2 linked regions of the Drosophila melanogaster genome follow. The protein of the gene in region 2 interacts with the protein of the main gene of each other region in a pairwise test. Each region holds a gene or a part of one and is shown on either strand. Other genes may lie near its edges.

The links.
Region 1: the proteins of CG3534 (region 2) and Nep4 interact in a two-hybrid assay, tested with the Drosophila melanogaster proteins (one study listed by BioGRID).

Annotation. Positions count from the first base shown.
Region 1 is NT_033777.3:20,652,067-20,659,093, forward strand, and holds Nep4 (neprilysin 4), read right to left. Parts: upstream 4,777-7,027; 5' UTR 4,574-4,776; coding exon 2,786-4,573; intron 2,670-2,785; coding exon 1,661-2,669; intron 1,499-1,660; coding exon 1,173-1,498; 3' UTR 1,085-1,172; intron 719-1,084; 3' UTR 501-718; downstream 1-500. Other genes in the region: GluRIID (glutamate receptor IID), read right to left, coding at 1-31, 114-222. UniProt on the Drosophila melanogaster protein: Metalloendoprotease which cleaves peptides at the amino side of hydrophobic residues - such as the hormones Akh and Dh31, and the neuropeptides Allatostatins (AST1, AST2, AST3 and AST4), Crz, Drosulfakinins (DSK-I and DSK-II), Lk, sNPF and the tachykinin peptides TK-1, TK-2, TK-4 and TK-5.
Region 2 is NT_033777.3:16,994,283-16,999,983, reverse strand, and holds CG3534 (uncharacterized protein), read right to left. Parts: upstream 3,539-5,701; 5' UTR 3,396-3,538; coding exon 3,336-3,395; intron 2,932-3,335; coding exon 2,810-2,931; intron 2,520-2,809; coding exon 1,692-2,519; intron 1,634-1,691; coding exon 1,412-1,633; intron 1,198-1,411; coding exon 1,008-1,197; intron 949-1,007; coding exon 712-948; 3' UTR 535-711; downstream 1-534. Other genes in the region: Sf3a1 (splicing factor 3a subunit 1), read left to right, coding at 1-102, 164-334, 392-493; EMC2A (ER membrane protein complex subunit 2A), read left to right, coding at 4,025-4,058, 4,171-4,579, 4,706-4,862, 4,925-5,173.

The sequences.
Region 1 (7,027 bases), 3.7 Mb from region 2:
ATTCTATCGGTGGCGTCGTCGGTGATGAGGCCTATATATATATGAATTTTTTTTGAGTCAAAACGAAAATCGGGAGAACAATCTGCTTAAGCTCTTTCATATGTTTCACTCACCCAGGCGAATGGATTGACCACTAGATGCTTCGTATGCATTACCCCCATAAAACTGTGCCTGCACTCTGCTCAGGCTGAGAATAATCAGAGATATCCAACAGAAATGCATCGCCTTCAATTATTGAAGTTTGGTTTGGGAGTTTTTCATTTCCGTCCTCTGGTATTCGAGTATCTAACAATGGGTATATCTAAATATATACGTATATTTTTGGATCACCCACTAGCGCGATGTCTTTGATGTTCCTTAGTCGCCGAGCGCACGTTTCCAACTGAATGGCCACTCATAATTGCTTTAAAAATTCCACTCAAAAGTTTTCCAAAATATTCTTTTTGAACTTGAAAGCTTCCAGTGTTGAACAATCACCATTAAATTAAAAGTCACCATTTGTTGATAATATAAATACATTTAATTAGAATTATCACAAACATAAATTGCATCATAAACTAAACTATTGCAAGTTACAAGTATAAATAGTTAAGGGCTAAGAAAAATATATAGATTGCAAGTTAATTTTTGGCACATAATCTTTGTTGTGATGGGGGAGCCATAAACCCAAGGCGAATCTTCGGCAATGACCAGATGGGTGTTCCGTCCGTTGTGATCCCTGTAATGGAGGGGAAAATCTTAGCGGAGCGTATTAATAGCTGTATATATAGAGTAGTGGTACTCCAACCCCATTGGCATTCCAAGTGACTTCCATCAATTGTAGTTTGATTGGAAAGACAATCGGAGAAGTTGTTCCCCGGCAAGAAACTGAGCCAACTGCTGGGCATAAATCACCATTAATTAAGTGCATGCGCCCCAATTGAAGTGTGATGCCGTTGTTGGCACAACAGTTAGGGGCAAATGGGTAACGAGCCACAAGGAAGCTGCGCCGCCAGACACTACCACTTTCTCCGTTAAGTGGCGCCCAAAGTGGAGCGCAATTAGAGCCCCGACATGGAGGTTCCACTACCACCCGGGTACTCACCAAATGACATGCCTTCGGTCTTTGGTCTAGGAATGTGTGGCATATGTCATGCTTAATACTCTTAGGCTATTGATTTGGTTCCCTCCGACTACCAAACGCTGCACTTTTTCTGAGGGTTCATCGGTGAGCCGAGGGGACAATTGAACTCCCGCGCAAAGTCAACGGAGTTCGAGAGCGTCCCAATCACCCGGAAACGACCTGGACTGTGGATGGCCGTGTTCAGCTTGTTCCGGATGGCCTCCGGTCGCATCGCTCCGCACCAAACCTGACCGAAGTTCAGGAAGAACAGCTGCGGCCCTGTCATGTTAAGTCCTGGCAGGATCTCGTCCGACACCTCGCTGGGATGCTCCTTTAGCCAGCGCTGATACGCGTGGAAGGCCTGCCGGAGGCCTCCATTGTCTGCGATATTCTCACCTGAGATAAATCGTTAGAAATTATTAATACACAATATATGATTGTGACTTGGAATGACTAAACCATTCACAATGATTGTGATTAACTCTACAATCAATCGATCATATTTTTGGACCATATTCGTTTGGTCAACAGCACCATATTTGAATCAAATCGACTTACCCTGCGTACTCTCTCCATTCAGGACGATTCCCACCTCCTCGACGGTATAGTTGCTATATTGGGCAATAATGCAGCGGGCGCGCTCGTCGAACCCGCGAATCGAGGAGTCCGTCCACCACTTATGTATATTGCCGTTGCGATCGAAGAGCCTACCCTTGTCATCGAAACCGTGGGTCAGTTCGTGGCCAATGACCACACCGATGCCGCCGAAGTTCAGCGACTTCGGAAAGTGGCGGTGGTAGAAGGGCGGCTGCAGGATGCCGGCGGGAAACATGATCTGGTTCTTGTTGCGGCTATAATAGGCATTGACGATGGCAGGAGCTGTCTGCCAGTTGGTCTTGTTGACCCTCTCGTGGAGCTTGGCCTGCTCCGTTTTGGCCGTGTGAAGCAGAACATTCAGAGTGTTCTCAAAATACTTTTCCGGATAGATTTCTATGCCCGCGTACTTGCTATTTAACTCACTGGGATTAAGGATAAAGTCTGGATAGCCGATCTTCAGGGACATGGCGTTAACCTTTTCCTCGGCCAACTGCTTTGTGGTGTCGTCCAGCCAATCAGTGGTTTTCAGGATATCCCGAAAGGCCTGCTGCAGATCGTGAGTCATCCGCAAGGTGTCCCGCTTGCTGTTGTTGTCGAAATAGCGACTCACGAACATGGAACCCACTGCCATGCCCATGTTGGTGTTCACCTGGGCGATGCATACCTTCCATCTCTGCGGACTCTCCTCGCGGCCAAAGAGGGCGTGGTAGAAACTCTGTTTGATGTCATCGAATCGATCGTCCACGTTGTTGATCCTGTGCCGCACAAAGCGCCACATCATGTAATTGGAAACCGTTCGGGGATCCGTTTCATCTAGAAGAGTCACCAGCTTGCTCATGTACTCCACCGCGTAGATGACCACTTCCTCGGTGCCCAGAACTTCGCGATCTTGCAGACTCTGCAGGTAAGCTCGCCACTTGATTTCCGGAACCACCGCCTGCAGTTGGTCCAGCGTCATGCGCTTGTAGAGCTGCGTGAAATATGAAGACGTATTAAAACGTTTTAGATATTCTATAGAAATATGTTTCGAAGCAAAATATATTAAGTACTAGTAAGAATAATTTAAAAGTCTTAGAAGCCACTCACCTTGGTGACGTTAAGTCGTTGCTCCGCTGGAGCTGTAATCCCCGCCAGCTGCGTTTCGAACGCCACCAGCTCGCTGGCCACCCGCTGGGCATCCGCCTTGGAGGCGCCCATTTTGTGCATCACCTCGGCCATGTAGCGCTGGTAGGCCTGTAGGTACTTGGCGTTGCTCGGCTGGAGGAAGTACTCCCTGGTGGGCAGGCCCAGACCCGTCTGGTCAAACTGAACAATGTTCTCCTCGGAGTTCTTGATGTCCGCCCCCACCCACTGGACGATGAGGATGTCGTTGTTGTAACGTCTAAGGGTGGCGGCTAGCACCTGCCAGTTAAAGTTGGACTCACTCCATTGGGACTCCAGGACTGGCCAGCCACCTAGTTCCCGAATGAGCGTGTGCAGCGGTTCCAATCCCCGCTTGGCCAGCACCGCGCTGTTCACGCAGGACCGGTACAGATTCTTTGCTTTTAGCTGGGCATCTTGATGGGGCTTTAGGAAATCGGTGGGCACATGTAGTTGCTCTTCGTTATCCGACTTGTCCTTGGTTTTATCCTTTGGCAGGACAACTGGTGGAGCAGCTTCCTCCTCTTTGGTTCTCTCCCGTGGGGTTTCGATGAGGCGTTTCCTTTTCGTTCCGTTGGTATACCGCTTGTAGCGCACCAGAACGCGGTTAAGCAACTGCCTCTTACTGACAATGTGCCGACGCAGGCGTTCCGCCGTAAGTTCCGCCGCCTGGTCAGCTTCGCCCTCACCCTCGCCCTGCTCATTAAGCTTAAATAGAGTATTCCGCACGGGACTTTTTCGTAGCTCCGCTGCGGAGTGCACAGGGGTATTTTTCTCCAGAAGATTTCGTAGCACCAGGTCCAGACTCTCACGCAGCATTTCGAAGGTATCGAAGCCGGCCTTATCCTTGGGTATTGGATGCAGGCGCTCCCAGTTGCCGCAGGCGTACTTGTAGAAATCCACGCAGGGATCCACTTTGTTATCCATGTAGCGCTTCATGGTTTTGGCCTGGGTCATGCGAATGCCCTCCCGAGTGCCTTCCTCGTTCCAGAAACTCTGCAGAGCGGCGGTGGCCTCGCTGATCTCGGCACTGGCCTCCTCTGCATGACGTTCGGCCTCGCGGCGCTCCCGTATTCTGATCTTCTCCAGCCAATACGGAGCTATGTCCTGGTAGCGCTTCTTCTGCCTCTGGTAGGCCTCCTCATCTATGGGTTTAATGTCCAGTTCAATGCCGCTGCCGAGGCACTCTCGCGGAATGCCCAGTGGCAGGAAGGAGGTTCGGGAGTCCTTCATCAGCGTGTTGCGCTCCTCCAACTCCATGGACTCCCCGTTCCCGTAGCGATATGGTTGGCAGCGACGCGCCCTCTCCGCGGCCAAAATCTGCAGTTGGGTCCGCTTGCTCGCCGGCAGTATGAACTCCTCGTTGATCAGGTCGTTGTAGGTACTACCCTCCGGTAAAAGGGCTTCGTAATCCTCCATATAGACAGGCACCTCGCTGTGAGAGTTCCGCAGATCCCTCATCCTCTGTTCGTTCAATTGCAGCGCCGCCAGCATCCCGTCCAGCCGCATGATCAGGATGAGCACCAGGGTCAGTGGCAGCATTACCACTGGAAGAAGTAGAAGCATTTTGCAGCAGGTCAGACCGGGACACCACTGCACACGACCTGTCCGCTGATTAACACCCAGTCCGAGCTTCACGCTCCGGGCTTTGGCGTTCATCGGCGAGCCAGGAGCGGTGGCTGGAGCTCCGTGAACCGAGGGCATCGCTAGCTTCAGTTGGCTGTGGCGACTCATCCCACGAGCAGCCGTAATTGAGGAGCTCGCTGGCCTGTATACTTTAATTAAACGCAATTTTTCGCGAAACGCAGTTTGCCGAGCCGCACTGGACGTAACCCAAGCCGAGAATGCCGAGCTGCAGATCGGATGCCGCAGGCTAGAAGCTGGAAGCTGGAGACCGAAGACTACTGCGGCCGAGTCGCGCTCGCATCGCCAACTGAAAGCGCCGCGCGGAGATGCGCAATCACGGCGCGCGACAAACAATTGAGCGGCGACAGCAGCCACCAGCAACCAGCGACATCAGCAGCAGCAGCCGTCGCAGCAGCAGCAGCAACATCAGTCGGCGCAGCAGCGACTATCAACTGGCAACATGCAATCAATGGATCTCCAGCCGGAGGAGGAGAATCGGGGGATGCTGCTGGGGGTGATCTTGATTTCAAAAACTACTTATGCCGATCTAAGGACAGGAAATATCCGGATTTCCGCAACAGATAACTGCAATGATTTGACCCCTTAACCTCAATCGCTTCATTAATTCGCCTTTATATCTCAGTTAATCAACAGGAACGACTACAAAGCAGATCGTTCAAATATTTGTGTCATTATCACTGGACTAGCAATAACAAACGCGCATCTATAGCAATTTATACACAGAAAATAAAGCAAGTTGAACTTTCATATCGATATTTGAAATCTAAGATATTTATAAAACTAAACATGTTTTCGTTGATATAAAAGATTTAAAAAAAAGTGCACAAATGATGTTAATAATATCAAATATCAAATAATATATCAAATCATTTTTATATCTCTATGTAAATATTACATATTAGCTAATAAAGTTGTCATCACTATGTGGAAGAATAGTACGAGTTTCAAAATACACCTTTAAATTTTCTAATAGTTCAACGTGAGCTAATCAACTAAAGATAGTCAACAGCTTCCATTAGTCAATTTAACAACCACCTCATATTTTCTTCGTGTGCACAGCTGCCACCCAAGCACCTCCGCATTGACCTCTGCCCGAAGAGCGTCTAAATTCAATCAATTTAATTTAATTTCACAAAATAATTGACCAGTCCGCCGACGGACAGCTGGCCACGGGTAACGTACTCAAGTGGACGCGGTGGATCGGAACTAAGCTTTCGACTGGCAAAGAACCCCAGATATTGTAGATACTACAAATGGTACGGATACAGATGCGTTTAAAGGCTGTCAACAGCGCCCATAACTCGGCACTTAAGCCTGACCATTCAAGTGTAATAGAGATGGCGTCATTGGGCGCCACTAACTACTCGAGTCACACGTGTTTTTGGGGAATGTAATCCCCATCGGGGCGTCATCTAGTGTGCCACTATTTAAAGGGAATTAAAGCTCTGCGAGGCGTAACCGTAAGCCAAATTGGCCCTTCAGAGTGCGGAGGGTTCGGCGGGTTAGTATTACAAGATTATGCGGGTAATTGGTGGCATGCGATGCCATCTAATGTGCCTAAAACAACACCCCTCCGCCCGCCGGCCACCTTACTTTGCATACGTATGTGTATGGAGTCGTATGCCCATTTTGGTCGGCGGATCGCTAGGGGTGTGGAAATCCAGAAGGTATGGCTTTTGTTCACGTCATGTATTTCAGTCTCATGAACACCAAGCACGCAGGTGTATCTATGTAAGATGAGTGCGAGTGTGTGCGGTTGCGGGTGCTGGTGTATCTGTATCTGTATCTGTATCTGTGCTTATGCTGCCGGGGGAAATGGCGATTGCTTCATATGCTAATTTTAGCCTTAAACCTTTTAATTAGCGACTATGACCGAGATTAGTCGACTCGTCGTCCATTCGTCTATCTCATATGCAGCAGAATGCCGCAGTGCAATCTGCAACATGTGTATAACAACATGTGGCCTTTCGCAAGGAAAGGGGGAGGTGGGTAAATGGAAATGGAAATGGAAATGGAAATGGCCTGCAGCCCCCACTGCAAATGTTATGCAATTTGCCAACGCTCGGATGGATTCTAATTTCAATTGGCTTTTGTGTTCACTTGATCTGCGGTTCAAGACCAACCCGTCGACGCATGACCCACTGAGCCAACATGCGACGCTGCGGCACACAAACACACATTCGATTGCGGCATCAGGTTTGCGAGAGGTAAACGAACGAGTCGTGAATCAATCAATTGATGAAAATAAATATGCCCGGGGATCGAGTGTACTACGCATATAGACTACGGATTGCATTTGGATGCGGTGGGGGATCCGAGGGGGTAATGACTATTGAACTCGGGTTATCGACACCGCCAGATTAATTAACTCAACTAACTTAATCATTTTAGACGGCAATCCAAAAGGGGAGAACGGGCTGGACGTCATTCATTTTCTGGCTTTGTTTTGAATAAATGCACTCACTGGCGTACGCATAATTTTATTCAAGTGTATTTTTTTGTAACTTTATAATTAGATATTATGCTAGAGAAGCCAACTGT
Region 2 (5,701 bases):
CCTGCTCCACCTGTTGATATAATGGAGGAGGAGCCGCCTTCTAAAAAGATTCGAAGCGAGGACAACCTGATTCCAGAAGCAGACTTTATTGCCACCCACAAGGTAAGTTTGATTTTGATATCTGGCTATCTATTGGTATATAACCCATCTTAAATTATTTCAGAGCCCTGTGACCATTCAGGTTTTGGTACCCAATTCCGACAAATCAGAGTGGAAGCTTAATGGACAGATGATAGCCGTGACCATGGCACTTTCTGAACCCATTGCCAATCTGAAGACGAAGCTGCAGGACGAAACTGGCATGCCACCGGCCAAGCAGAAGATATTTTATGAGGTAAGAAATACAACTAATGTTTCGAAAACTATTATTTCAATAACATCTATCCTTCAGGGAATGTTCTTCAAAGACAGCAATACCATGGCTTTTTACAATCTGGTAAACGGAACCACGGTGCATTTACAGGTCAAGGAGCGTGGTGGACGCAAAAAGTAGGCGGATCAAAGATTAAAGGCATACCAGACACAATAAGGAGTGGGCCATATATAAAAATTTATTTGTATATGGTTTCGCATAAATTTGTAATAAATCGTCAATCACAGAATTTGTTAATTGCACTTAAGTTCTGTCAATTACAGGAGACGTTTAAGAAGGAATCAGTTTGTGAATGTACGGAGTATAAACTGGAATGTTACGTTGGGCTTTCGGAGAGTTTATGTGTTAGGATTGGACAGGACGCGCGCCATTTCGCGATATCGTTGTAGCATTGGAGCGTAGATTTCCTCGCTGTCCTTGTGTGGTTCGCATACAAGGCTCAGTTTGTTACTTGTCAGACTTAGGATATAATCTCGGTAACAGAGAGGCGTCACCCCATCACCTGCCTCTTGAAGGTACAGAGCGTAGGCGGATCGATAAGCGGCTCCCAGTAGGGCAGCCTCAAATCCTTCATCCTGCAAGAAACATGTTGCTTAAATTGCTTGCACTTGAGAAACAGTTGGTATGAACTAACCTGGATATGGACGGGAGCATTGAACACATCGGCAATTGTTTGCAGGATTGATTTGTTAACAGATGCGCCTCCTGTGACAAGGATTTGTGTCTCGGGTCCGAATTTGTAGCCAAGGTCTTCAGCCACAGCCCGGTGATGCAGCATCTGACCTTCAACTAGGGCTCGAATTTCGATTTGGGGCGAGCTGAATCTATAAAGCGAAAGAGGTCAGGAATATTTTATACATTTTAAAGAATTCAGTAGAAGGGAAATAGGCATTAAGAAAAAGTATAAACGACAAAAAACATGATCATGTTGGTAAAAAGTCATTTCTAAAAATAACTATTTACAGATGTCTGTTAACTGATTATGAGTCATTGCTTTCATGTCGGACCTAAAACAGCTAAATTTTCAATCAGACTTACTTGATTACACCCCTAGCCGCGTCCGGGGAACTGGGATCCATTTCCCTGTTCCATCGCAGAATACCCTGCGCCTTGGGAATGATTTCCATGTCGTTAAAGTGCACGGCCATGTTCCCAAAGTTTCCACGGGGCGTGGAGTCGAGATACTCATTGAATTTATCCCAATCGCCGCCGGTTGTCTTCTTGTTCATTTCCTCACGGACCAATGAAGCATTTCTAAAACTGAAAAAGACATTTAAATAAACTAATTTTAAGATATAATGTCCCAGGAATAATTTACCATAGAAGGCCCATGAATTCTTCCGTTTCAGTTGGATGGCAGAGTATATGACCCTCCTCCCAGTTTAGCGGCTCCTTCAAGCTCATCATTAGGGTGTCACTTGTGCCCATGGAAATGGTAAGCCAGCTGCTGCCCACCAACATTCCAGACAGCGCCGAAGGATTGTCCCCCGTGCTAGCAGCCACTTTGCAATCGGGCGAAAAACTAAAGCGCTCCACAAAGTACGGAGAGACGTTGCCTAAAATCGAATTTGGACTGACCGGAATGTCCAGGCGCTTGTCCAAATCGGGTGCACAAACATTTAGGCATTCTTTGGACCAGTTCTTCTTGCGGATGTCCAGCAGATTCATGCCGGAACCATCACTGAAGTCAATTGGAGCGACGGAGCCCAGAAATAGCGATGATATAAAACTGCTGACCAATGAGATTCGGTTGGCCTCTTCGTAGGCGTGGCAGCGTTGCTGATATATCTTTCTAATTTGGGGACCCGTAAAACGTTCGTAGCACTTCGAGCCCGTCAGTTCCACCATGTTAAGTTTGCCACCAACAGCCATCTCCATCTCTAGGCACTGTTTGGTGGTGGTGGCGTCCATCCAAATCGGAGTACGATTTACCACAAAGGCGGAGTCGTCGATTTGTGCGTGAAGGAACTTCTCGGAATCGAGGTTTTGCAGCGTGTTGATTCCATGTTTGGACCAGTAGAGCGATCCGTGCTGCTGTCCGGAGCCACTGATGGCAGCTACGGTGCTAAGATCCGCTTGCTGCATAACCAGTCGGTCCAGGACAATGTCCATGGCCTTCACCCACATCACTGGTTGTACAAAGTATCTAAAGAAGAACAAGTAAAGGTGGAGTCAGGTTAGCACATATATATTTTATAGTACCCATTGTATATATGGTCCCTGTTATAGGAAGGTTAAAAAAAACTTGAAGTGATAGAGACCCATTGTGGTGTAATAAAACAACTGCTATGAAATAGGGCCCTAAGTATTATCGGACAAATACCCCACAGCGCAAGATATAAAAACGTAAAATATATCCCCCTATTTGCTTTACGCAAACAATCATCCCATTAAAATCTTCAATTGGAGTAATGGATAGTGGTGAAACAGACTCACTCATTTTTGATGGATCCAGCGTTGGCTCCACCGGTGGTCCGGAACTCCGGCAAGTCGGTGTCGAATTTCACTTCAGCCGCGGCAACCACCTCCAAACTGGAGCCCAGCAGGACGGCTTTGAGCTGAGAGGAGTAAATGGGGCAGCAATTAGCGATATGGAGACACACCTCGAAAATAACGATCAAACATAGAGGGCAACTAGGAGTCACCGCCAGCGTCATTCAGGGATTGTGAAAGTTATTGCGGCTCTATTAAGATAATGTCGGGGGCCAATACCTCCGAACATGAATTTCAATAATCAAACCATAATAGTTAAATCGGTTGGCGCTCGCGTCTTTAGCAGATAAGCGAAAATCGAGCCCCGGTCACCGCAACTGATAAGAGTAGTTCGTGTTTCAAGTTCCCGAGTACCGTTTGACCTTTTCCAGTAACACCATTCGCACGCAATTGGCCCAGATGTAGTCGATTTGGAGACGCCTCCACATCTCAGATGCAAAGATACTACGTAGGCAGTTCCAGTTCTCACCTTTTGCGTGCTCAAGTCGAAGCCAAGAAAGGTTCGTTTCAGCTGCTTTGGCGGACCCATGTTCAAACTGCTTCCGGATCTGTTGGGAGTTGGGGAAATTAAACACAGCACCGCATGCGGCACTGCCCGATTCCACGGCTTTAATACCCGGAGAGCACGAGAGACTTGGCTTTTGTTGACGGTACCACAATTATTTGATTTGTTAGTGTGACCGTCGCTGGAAGAAAAACTATCATGTTTCATGTTTTCGTTGGCGCGCTTTTCAAATGTGCACTTGACTTAGAAATCTGTTAAAATGGATAAGCAATGCACAAAGTTTGGACAAAATAAGATTAATGCATGGTAAAATAATTCATTAAAGAATCCTTTTCAAGGACCTACAAGTATTTCAGAAGTATTAACAGTTTAATTAACTTTGCAAATATCGGAAACAAGGTATATGTAGAAAAACTTAACTTTAGAAGTCTCTTTATAATAAAAAGTTTTAAAAAATTACCTCTGACTTCATTTCTAGACTTTACGATATTCAAAAAGCAGGTTGGCAGCGCCACGCTAGTGTTATTTGGTATAATCTAACGGCTCATTACGCTGCCACACTTTTATTTTGCCAAGAAGGAAATCGCTAGTTAATGATTACAATTGGGAAATTAAATTAAATTGATGAGATATTTAAGTCCGCCTAAGTGAATATGTCGCTAGATTATGAGAAGATGAGCTGGTCGGGTAAGTTTTCGGCTTTTCCCGGCTCCAGACAGGTGCAGACCACGTCAGTGGGTTGCTCCCAATTGCCATGAATGAAAAGTGCCGTATCATAAGCGTATGATCATCCTTTCAGATGTACGGGATCAGTTCAGAACGTGGCGCGAGGAGACGGGTCGCCACAGCGAGGAGGTGGTCCAGCTGTGGGTTGCTGTGCTAGAGGACAAGGTGCACAAGACCGGCAACGAGCGGCATCTCATCCTGGAGCAGGTGATCATCGCGGCATTGGATACGGCTCGCTTTGACATCGCCACCAAGTGTACCAAGCAGCTGTCCCTCGAGTTCCCGGGCAGCCTGCGCGTGATGAAGTTCAAAGCGATGCGCTACGAGGCCCTGGAGCAGTACGATGAGGCCGACGAGGTCCTGGATGCAATCATTGCTAAGGACGAGACAAATGCCGCGCCCAGGAAGCGCAAGATTGCCATCCTTAAGGCCCGTGGTCGTCGCCTGGAGGCCATCAAGGAGCTCAACGAGTATCTGAAGAAGTAAGAAAGCTAAGTTCATGGTGTTTTTGGAAGAACGGAACCAAATTAGTTTCCGGCATCCGGTTGCTAGACAACTACTTATCTTACCATGTACGATAATCTCATAACTATTTAATATTCCTTCAGGTTTATGTCTGACCAGGAGGCATGGCATGAGCTGTGCAACATGTATCTGGCTGAAGGCGAGTTTGGCAAAGCTGCCTTCTGCATGGAGGAGGTTTTGCTGCACAATCCGCATAGCCATCTAATACACCAGCGTTTGGCAGAAATACGATACACAATGGTGAGCTATATAAGCCCACTAACCAGTAATGAAGTCCATCTTATGAATTAATTTTCTTTCAGGGTGGCGTCGAGAATATGGAATCGGCTCGCACTTACTATTCGCAGGCCCTGAAGCTTAATCCGCATAACTTGAGGGCCCTTTATGGCATTTACTTGTGCTGCAACCATTTGGACAACTCTCGTGCTGTGAGCTCCAAACGGAAGGAGCTGCAAAAGTTGAGTCAATGGGCCCTCGAACAACTTTTGACTAAACAAACGATTGTACCCTTGGAGGCTGCCTTTGGAAACCTGGAAATTAAATCGAATTGACCAATATAAGCACTAATAATTTGTGCAATAGATGCCAGAATGTAATGGTTCCAAATATTCTCAGAAGTGGGTTTCCAGTTTCTGTTCTTTAAGCAGGTTACATAGATAAACAATTAAAGAAATAGGAGTAAAAACAATTTTATAGTCAGTGCATCCAAGCAACTGTTTTTGGTGGTCTAGTATTGTTGACGGCATTGAAACCGGATAATTTAAAACATTTATTATTGAGGTAGGCAAAAATAGTCCTGTAATAAATTTAGATTAAACGCAATGAACTGCTTTGAATCATACTTTTAATCTTTGGCCTCAAGTTTTAAGCAATATTAACTCGTGCCCATGTGCTTACATCCGTAAAATTAATCGGGCACTGAACGACATTCAGAATAAGTCGAAGAACATTTATTCTGAAGATGGTGCCTATTGTATACTTGACTATTCGCTGAGGTCATTGACTCTTATTATTGTAAAAATTGCTTTAATGCACTAGATTAATTCTCACTAGGTTTGTGCGTGTCCATCGTCATACAA